Arabidopsis thaliana: one gene and its partner. The protein of the gene in region 2 interacts with the protein of the main gene of each other region in a pairwise test. Each region holds a gene or a part of one and is shown on either strand. Other genes may lie near its edges. The genes, in order: AT5G10350 and MT2A.

Region 1 (5,261 bases), on a different chromosome or scaffold from region 2:
TTTACATTTGGCTTATTGAGTGTAGAGTGTGAACAATCTGCTATGAAGTTCGTAAAATTCTTTGAATCCAAACCTTTGAATCGTAGGATAGTTACTATTTCACACTGCTAGGATCTGTTTATAGCTGATGCATTACTGGAATCTATGATGTTTACTGCGTTGGTCTGATATATAACCAGTTCTGAATCTGAAAATCAACATTGTCGATTTTGGTAAAGATATTGAGTTTCATTTCTGTTGTTTTGATGCAGCCGCGCCTTTTTCGACAAGAGGCTCTCTCAGGAAGTTAGCGGAGATGCTCTAGGCGAGGTGAAATTTTTTCTCCTGGTTCAGTGTTTTTTTCTGATGTCTTGTGAGTTCAGTATACTTAACAGAATTGTGTGTGTTTTGAGCTATTTGCAGGAATTCAAGGGATACGTATTCAAGATCATGGGAGGATGTGACAAGCAAGGTTTCCCAATGAAACAAGGAGTTCTCACTCCAGGGCGTGTCCGTCTTTTGCTTCACCGAGGTACTAGATTCCACCCCATTGATAAAATTATACAGCTTCTCTTTTTTTCATTAATCTTCTGTGTTTTTTATTTATGTGATCTGGTTATTGTGTTTAGGTACTCCTTGTTTTAGAGGACACGGAAGGAGGACTGGAGAGAGGAGACGAAAGTCTGTCCGTGGTTGCATTGTGAGCCCTGACCTGTCTGTTCTTAACTTGGTCATTGTGAAGAAGGGTGTAAGTGATCTTCCCGGGCTTACCGACACTGAGAAGCCAAGAATGAGAGGTCCCAAGAGGGCATCAAAGATCCGCAAGTTGTTTAACCTTGGAAAAGAGGATGATGTGAGGAAGTACGTTAACACTTACCGCCGTACCTTCACAAACAAGAAGGGTAAGAAAATTAGATTCACTTAAAGAGATAATTGAAAACTGTTTATACGATTGATGATTTACTAATATATGAGGCTTCCATGTGCAGGCAAGAAGGTTAGCAAGGCTCCTAAGATCCAGAGGCTTGTGACTCCATTGACCCTCCAGAGGAAGAGAGCTAGAATTGCTGACAAGAAGAAGAGAATCGCCAAGGCTAACTCTGATGCAGCTGATTACCAGAAGCTTCTTGCCTCCAGACTAAAGGAGCAGCGTGATCGCCGTAGTGAAAGTTTGGCCAAGAAGAGGTCTAGACTCTCTTCTGCTCCTGCTAAACCCGTTGCTGCTTAAACTGCCTCAAGATTAAGAAATTTCTTTCTCTCTAGTTTGTTTCTGGTCGTATTTAAGTTGCTCCACAGACATGAGAACGCCATTTTGAACACTATTTTTGGTTTCTGTTTTGTGTCAACTTTTCAAGCCTTTTATTATATCAAAGTTTTGAACCTCTTAGTAGTACGTTTGTTATATTTAGTTCTTATTTATATGCCCGTTTGTTGATAGTAAATGACCAGATGTCTTCATTATTAGATAAACTGATGACCTACCTTTAAAGTGTTTTTTCCAAAAAGTGTAATGTTTTGAACCAAAACTCAATCTCGATTAAACTCTTTTAATATGGAGACCCGTCGCTGAAGACTGACTCCTTTCTTCAAGCTGGTGTTGATCGGAGACTATGGAGTCGGAGAATCGCTTCTACTGTCTCCTTATGCCATCTTCGCCGAAATCCTCTGTTTTACAACAGTGGTAAGTAAAAAACTAAAAAGGTTGGAAGAAGACGAAGAACTTTGCTTAACTGCAATTAAAATTTATTTATTTAACAAATGGCTGTAGATATGTTTTGGGGAAAAGTCATTCTTATCAATACCTTTGGAATAATTTGGATCAAACTGTATCATATTTTTGTGGATAATTTGTCTCTGATATAAATTAATCTGATCCATATTATGCAGTATTATTTCACAGACCTCTTAATTTGGTCCATAAATTTAATTTGATCCATGATATAATTTGATAAATTATTCACAAGCCTGTTTCTTCCATAATGTTTGGGGCCTATGATGGGCCGAATTGAATTTTGAAGAAAAATCAAAACCTTCAGATTCAGTTAGAGTGTTATGATAATGGGCTCTTGTAAGTTTGTAACCGAGGCCCAATACGAGACGACGTCGTTGTTTGCAATCGACCTATCTGGATCGGTAGGAAAAGTGTGCAAGTCGTTTTCATTCACCAAAGCGAAGCTTTATTCGTTTGCTTGAGCTCCGAAGAGTGGAAACAAAAATGGAGGAAGAAGAGCACGAGGTTTACGGTGGAGAAATCCCTGAAGTCGGCGATACGGATGTTCCCGATCCGGATATCGATATGTCTGCAGCCGATGAGGACGCCGTTACGGTCTACTTCTGCTTCGTTCGATTTTGATTTTGTTGTATATCGTGTGTATACATCTGTTTGATTTTTGGTGTTTTGATTTCATGGAATCAGGAGCTTGCTGAGATGAAGAGGAGATTAAAGGAGATGGAGGAAGAAGCTGCTGCGCTACGAGAGATGCAAGCAAAAGTCGAAAAAGAAATGGGAGCTACTCAAGGTTTTGTGACTCTTTCGTTTTTTTTTTGAATTCGTTTGCTCGAGACTATCTTTGAATTTGATATACTAGGAGGAATCTGTTGATTGTGTAGATTACTTTTAGGAAATTGAACTTCTGTTTCTTGCTTAACAATTTGTTTCAGATCCTGCTAGTATGGCTGCAAATCAAGAAGGAAAGGAGGAGGTGGATGCTCGATCAGTTTATGTTGGCAATGTAAGATAGCTTATTTTCTACTTCATGGTATCTCTTCTGTGCTTGAATCATTGTTTCATCTAAACGGCTTTGATCTGTTTGCCAATCTTAGTGTGGATTAGCTTAGGCTGACTATTTTGTTAACTTAAATTTCATCTTTGATAAAAGAACTGCTTGCAATTGTGTCTTAGCTTTGTTCTTTATCCCTTGAGATTACTGTTAGAATCTGTATCAAGAGGCTTTCTCTAAATTTAATGTTGTGAAGTAGGTTCTTTATTGTTTCTAGTTGAAGAGTTTGACCTCTATGTCCTATATAATCGCAGGGTTGTTCTCATAAATGAAGTTCTTAATAGCTCTGGGTTCTCAACTAAGTTTTGTGACTGTTTTGCTAGTTTCCTTGTTGTAGTGTTAAAATCATTCTTCCCGTGCAATTTGATGATAAAAAAGCTATAAAAAAAATGTTGAAAGTAAAAAGAAAAGAGAAGGAAAAAAATTTGAAAAAAAAAAAAAAAGATATAGCAGAAAAATGTGGAGAAAAATATTGCATGAGCTTGAAAAAAAAAAGAAGGATTTCTTGAGAGGAAAAAGGGAGTCTGAGTGAGTTGGGTGGGATTAGAAAGCAAGGTTTCTGTTATCCTTGAGGAGATGGTCTCTGAACTCTGAAGAGCTGGATCAAGATGCCAAGATGCTGGATGCTTTCTAAACAAGACCCAAAGCTCCGCAGGGAGGATACTTGGAGCTAATACAGGTTTGGTTGTTTGCGGATTTCGCGAGAGGCTGCAGTTTGATGCTGGCCTTTTATCATGTATTTTTGAACTCACGCTCATAAAATGAAGACTTTCATAGCGTTTATGTACCATACATAACTTAGGTCTAATGTTAGACATGGAAAATTGCTTTAGAACACACAAGTTTGTCTCTTGGCTTCCCTTAGTGGGGTGGTTAACTTATCTATCTGTTACGTTCTCAGTAAGTCATGGTTTTAGTTGTAATAAGAATGCTTGTGTTGTACTAAGACCTCATTATCCACCCTGCAGGTCGACTATGCCTGTACACCTGAAGAAGTGCAACTACATTTCCAAACATGCGGAACAGTCAACCGGGTAACCATTCTAATGGACAAGTTTGGACAGCCAAAGGGATTTGCTTATGTGGAGTTTGTAGAAGTGGAAGCCGTGCAAGAAGCTCTGCAGCTGAATGAATCAGAGCTTCATGGTCGTCAACTGAAGGTATCTTCTCGTACTAAGACCAATACTGAAGGAAATGGACAGTTCATTGATCTCAACTCTTCTCTTTTGGTTTTCATTTCAGGTCTCGCCTAAGCGAACCAATGTTCCTGGAATGAAACAGTATCATCCTGGGCGTTTCAACCCTTCAATGGGATACCGCTTTCGCAGACCCTTTGTGCCTCCGTATTTTTATTCCCCATATGGATACGGGTAAGTTTAAACTCTGCATATTTACCATCAGTTTATCACAAATGGCTTTCTCTTCTTCGTCTCACGAGACTCGGCAATGCCTCGTGCAGGAAGGCTCCTAGGTTCAGAAGGCCAATGCGGTACATGCCTTACCAATAGAAACCGTACCGGAATAAGAAGAACTATGACAGAGATGATGCCGAGGTCGTCCCTCCATTTCGAGCTTTATATATGAATATGACTTTGCTCGCACCTGAACTTAATTTTGAATCTGTCATGTACGGATGAGATTATAAGCTTTTGTTTCTTTAGATTATGATTATATTTGGTCGATATTACTTTCAGTTTATATCTTTGTTAGTACTTTCTTTCATCCAAAGGGGGCTAAATAAGTATACCAACAAGAAGATTGATGTTACGTAGAGAAGCCTTTGTAAGAAGCTATTATGTTTCCGCAAAAAATCCCTTAGTCAGAAGCTAACCTTTACTAATCAATGATGTATGGTATAATCAAATCCCTTATTCCTTATAGTATTTGTTATCTTTTCGGTTTGGAGAATCGATGATTACAGAGTAAAAAAAAGAATAATGTTTTTTCTTCTCGTCATTAGTACTTTTGATGTATGGTATAATCAAAACATTAAATTTATGAAAATTTGTAATGTGATGTTGATATTGATAAAACATAGTAATTCATAACCCAGTGAGTAAACTAATCAGAAACTAGAATGCTTGGACAAATAACGACCAAAAAAGAATGCTTGGACAAATAACCAATCATTCAAGTCTACAAAATAGAAATTAAACTCGGGAAATAACAAACAACAGTTGCACAGCGATTAGATGTGTAAGGCAAATCATAAGATTTGGTATCTGGATCATGTGTTAGGAATGCATCCCCGTGTGTACTATCATAAAACAATAACTTGTCCTTGTCCAAAACTGCTAGTGGGGTGAATGCGAATATGGCACTAAAGAACAAAGAAGAGGTGATAATGAGGTCTATGGAATATATTTGCTTCCATGTCTTGTGGTCTGAATCATCCAACGACCATATGACTTGGTTGGGCCACTTTTGCTCGGATACGCACAAACGATCACCGAGGTTGCACATGACGATATAATATTCATCAGAGACATTGAGAAAGGGAGC
Region 2 (3,961 bases):
GGCGAACCATCAAAACCCCGGTTCTTCAAGTTTTTAGTCTTTCACCATTGCTTTTTTGTGTTTTTTTACAGTAAAATTAGTTTTCTATCATTTGCATTGATTTATTTGATCTAAATATTGTGTGATAGAGAATGTGTTCTAGATTGTAATTGTACAATGATCCAATGGTATGACTCCGAAAAGAGTTTATGGACAACTTTGAAAAGTTTGGAAAAATGGCCTAGTTTTTTTTTATGTAAACTTGGTGAATTATGGTGGGAAAATGACAGTTGTATTGGTGGAGCATATGTTCGGTAAGAAGGTCACAAAAGTACAGTGTGCGAAAATTGCGATTGAAAAACGCCAAAAGAGAGAGATTTGGGGAATGGTAGAGTGGTTTGACATTTGTGTTTACAACCAATGGAGTCGTGCATGCTCTTGCTACTACCATTTGAAGGATTCATTCACCAACGTAAGGAATAAATCACTTTGTTTTTACTTTTTTTTAAAAAAAATTATTCATTAATTTTTGTCATATTTGAAATTCTAGAATTAATCCATAAAATTTTCGAACTCATTAACCAAGCCAAATAAATCCATAAAAAATTAATTCTTCAAAATTTAGAAACAATGGAGGACCAATGAAGAAAACCCAACGAACAAAGAGATTTAAAACTATAATATTATTATCATTCCACTGGAAGTACAAACTCATCACATGGCAGAGTTGCTAGACATCTAAAAGATATGATCAAAACAAACACAAAAGACAATGATCGGCTAAAAGATAAGCTGAAGCCATTATTACACATAAACCAAACCTAAAAACACCATCCTATATATGGTTTACTTATTGAATAACTTAATTAATTAAAGAGACTCGATTATCTCTGCTTATTTAAAAAGGCTTCTTCACTTGCAGGTGCAAGGATCACACTTGCAGTCAGATCCACACTTGCAAGCATCGTTCTCAGCGTTGTTACTCTCCCCTGAAGCCTCGTACTGATTCTTCATCGCCGGTGCAACGCCCAAGACAAAAGTCTCAGTTGTGGTTGTCTCGCCGGAGAATCCCAAGTCAGGGTACATTTTGCAACTGCAACAATCGAAAGAAAAAACCCATCAGTATCCTATGAAAACAGAGATCGTGTAAATTCAAAAGAGTTGTATCTTTTTACAAGAAAAATCTCCAAGAAACCATTCATCAAAACAAGATATCATCATCGATTCACAGTTGTTGCATACTTGCATGCAACGATTTCACCGGAAAATATAAATACAAACGAGACGTTGGAGACTTACCCTCCACAACCGTTGCCGCACTTGCAGCCAGATCCACATCCGCAGTTTCCTCCACAGCAAGACATTTTTCTCGAGAAAATTCAAATTGAAGAAAAATTTATGAATGAAAATTAATGATAGAGGAAGCTCCCAAATTTATAAGCTAAATGAGATTAATATTGACCATACATGTGTCGCAATCTTTCTCCGCTCTTATCTCCAAAACTAGTTCTTCATTTACGTCTTTACCCTCAGCGCATTGATTCTCGTACGTCGGTTCAATAATTGTCCAGTGTTCAAATAATTGTGGAGTGTTTGTGTGTCGTCGATTCTTGTACGTTCGAGAGCGTACCGATGTTCCGTGTGTTATGGTCTTATCACCGTTTAGATTCTCACCGCCTTTCATGCAGATCTTTATTCTACGGCTAGATCTATTAACCTCAGTCGTCCACTTGGTATTTCGTGTTTTTATAATAATCGTATATTTGGGTTTGTCTACACTAGATAAAATTAGCAGGAAAAATATCTAAAAATATCTATAAAAAAATTGTTTGATATTGTTAGACTTCTTTTTTGTCGTTTCTGATCAAAAGATAAATTACGTTGAAAAAGAGAAGGAGAAAATCTTAAAAGGGTGTTCAGTGTGTGTGGTCCAGAGAGAACGTAGCAAAATTCAGTTCCGAATTCCTTATCCTAGTTCATCAGAAAAGTAACTTTTTCTTTTGCTAAACCGATTTTGTTTGTTTAGTCAAAAGTGTATAACTATAGTTTATGAAAATATAAAATTTATGACTTTATTAGTGGCAAGCATATCTGCAAAAAGCAAAAATTACGTATACTACGAGTATTATAAAGTTCAAGTCTGTTATTTTCATTCACGGTAACTAAAGTTCGAGTTCAAAATTTGCGTTAGCTTTGCTAGTAGGATAGTTATATAAATTATTCTTACATTATATTTTTCACTAACAATAACGTATATGGGACACAAATGCAACATCGTTAAAATATGCTGAGTAACAAAATGGTAAAACCTCAGCGAAATCCAAAAAAAAAAAAAAAAAAAATCTATTCTAAAAAGATTGAATCAATTCTAAAAGTTACTTTAGTAAGAGTCTCTTCAAAAGATTAGTATTCACATGGAAGATCTCCAAATTCTTCCTTCAAGTGAAATCACAATCACAGAAACATCGTCATGATACCTCCGACGATCTCCTTGTGGTATCTCTAGCAATTCATGAAAGTCCATACCTAAAAAAAAAAAAAAATGCACGTGAGTTTAATCAAAGATTGCGTTTCGAATCTTAAGTGCGTTTGCGTTTTGTTCTTAGTATTACCATATTTCTTGGCAGCTCTAAGGAGGACTTCTTGAATGAGATGTTGAGCAGGATCGCCTTCAGGGAAGGCTGAGATGAATGAGTCAACCTCGAAGATGGCTTCCTCGTTCGAGAAGTATTCGTATAGTCCATCGGATGAGAGGATTAGGAATTTGTCACGTGATGAGAGTCTATGGTGGTGTAGCGACGGAGAGCACGTGATGTACGGCGATGTTCCGACGTAGTCTATTCTGAACATCTCTAGAAGCGCCTCGTTCCATTTTGGCTGAGGAAAGACATTGAACAAAACTATTATCAAATCGAATAAAAACAAACCAGGTTTTGTAATAGTATTTTTCTGCATTTTGATATTTCTACAAACCTTGTAGACCTAATAATCCAACCCTAAAAACTATAAAACATGCAAAATTTTGAAACTATCTGATTAAAATCATGAGTATATATATACCTGTTTAAGAAATCCAGCGCCAAATGCACGAGTGACTTTGAGATAACCTTTCACTCTATTATTCTCTATCGCTAATATATCATCAGGATGTTCCTTCTTGATTCTTCTCACTTCCTGTCACATCAAAAGATCGTTAGTGTCTAATGTTCGCAAAACAAAACACTGAATCAGGACTCGCAAAAAGATTCACCTCTTCAACACTTGTGCTATGTTCCTTATTGAGCTGAACAGGGACCAGAAGACTCAGTCCTCTTTCGGTGATGAACAAGGTCTCTAATGGACTTTCTTCTTTGACTCTCTCAAGCTCCTTTTGCATCTTCATTTTCTCGACATTAGGTCTTCGAGCAAGAACCGCTCGGCTATCTCCAACGCTCATCACGTAAACATCTTCTCCTTTCATCAATGTCACAAGAACGCAGGATCCCATCAAGGCTAATTCTGGATTCTCATTAACCATCAGATCAAACGATTCTTCTGTTTTCTCCAACGCTTGTTGAAGAGCTCTAAGAACGTCTTTGTGGTTAATATTATTAGACTTGTTGCTTGAGTTATGCTCCCACTCGCACCTCCATTGCAACTTCTTCACGTCACTCGTAATGTTTCTTGATCCACAAGCAACATCGTTTCCATTCATCACAGGGCAGTTTTCTTGATCCGAATCGGATGCATGCTCGACTGTACTCTGTTTCTCGATGTTGGACTCGCCGTTTCTATTATATGATTCACCTTTGTCGATCCATAGTAACCCTTTGAGCTCTCTGAGCACGGCAGTGTAGAGATTTTTGATAAGATAATCCGGTGGATCTGGACCGCTGAATCCGTCGTAAATTCCGACGAAAAGCCAACCGTTTTCCTCGGAGAGGATGACGTGTACTCGATCTTCACCTGCTTTCCCCTGTGCCCATTGTATCTTTGGCTCCTC

The links.
Region 1: the proteins of MT2A (region 2) and AT5G10350 interact in a protein complementation assay, tested with the Arabidopsis thaliana proteins (one study listed by BioGRID).

Annotation. Positions count from the first base shown.
Region 1 is NC_003076.8:3,254,680-3,259,940, reverse strand, and holds AT5G10350 (RNA-binding (RRM/RBD/RNP motifs) family protein), read left to right. Parts: upstream 1-2,129; 5' UTR 2,130-2,194; coding exon 2,195-2,305; intron 2,306-2,395; coding exon 2,396-2,498; intron 2,499-2,640; coding exon 2,641-2,711; exon of another isoform or gene 2,712-3,727; coding exon 3,728-3,919; intron 3,920-4,001; coding exon 4,002-4,129; coding exon of another isoform or gene 4,130-4,133; exon of another isoform or gene 4,134-4,218; coding exon 4,219-4,267; 3' UTR 4,268-4,705; downstream 4,706-5,261. Other genes in the region: EMB3010 (Ribosomal protein S6e), read left to right, coding at 252-309, 403-511, 609-881, 969-1,207; AT5G10340 (F-box family protein), read right to left, coding at 4,896-5,261. UniProt on the Arabidopsis thaliana protein: Involved in the 3'-end formation of mRNA precursors (pre-mRNA) by the addition of a poly(A) tail of 200-250 nt to the upstream cleavage product.
Region 2 is NC_003074.8:2,888,846-2,892,806, forward strand, and holds MT2A (metallothionein 2A), read right to left. Parts: upstream 1,730-3,961; 5' UTR 1,344-1,729; coding exon 1,279-1,343; intron 1,073-1,278; coding exon 892-1,072; 3' UTR 561-891; downstream 1-560. Other genes in the region: PLL3 (pol-like 3), read right to left, coding at 2,390-2,505, 2,592-2,856, 3,040-3,153, 3,230-3,961. UniProt on the Arabidopsis thaliana protein: Metallothioneins have a high content of cysteine residues that bind various heavy metals. Functions as a metal chelator of copper (Cu) and zinc (Zn). Plays a role in Cu homeostasis, specifically in the remobilization of Cu from senescing leaves.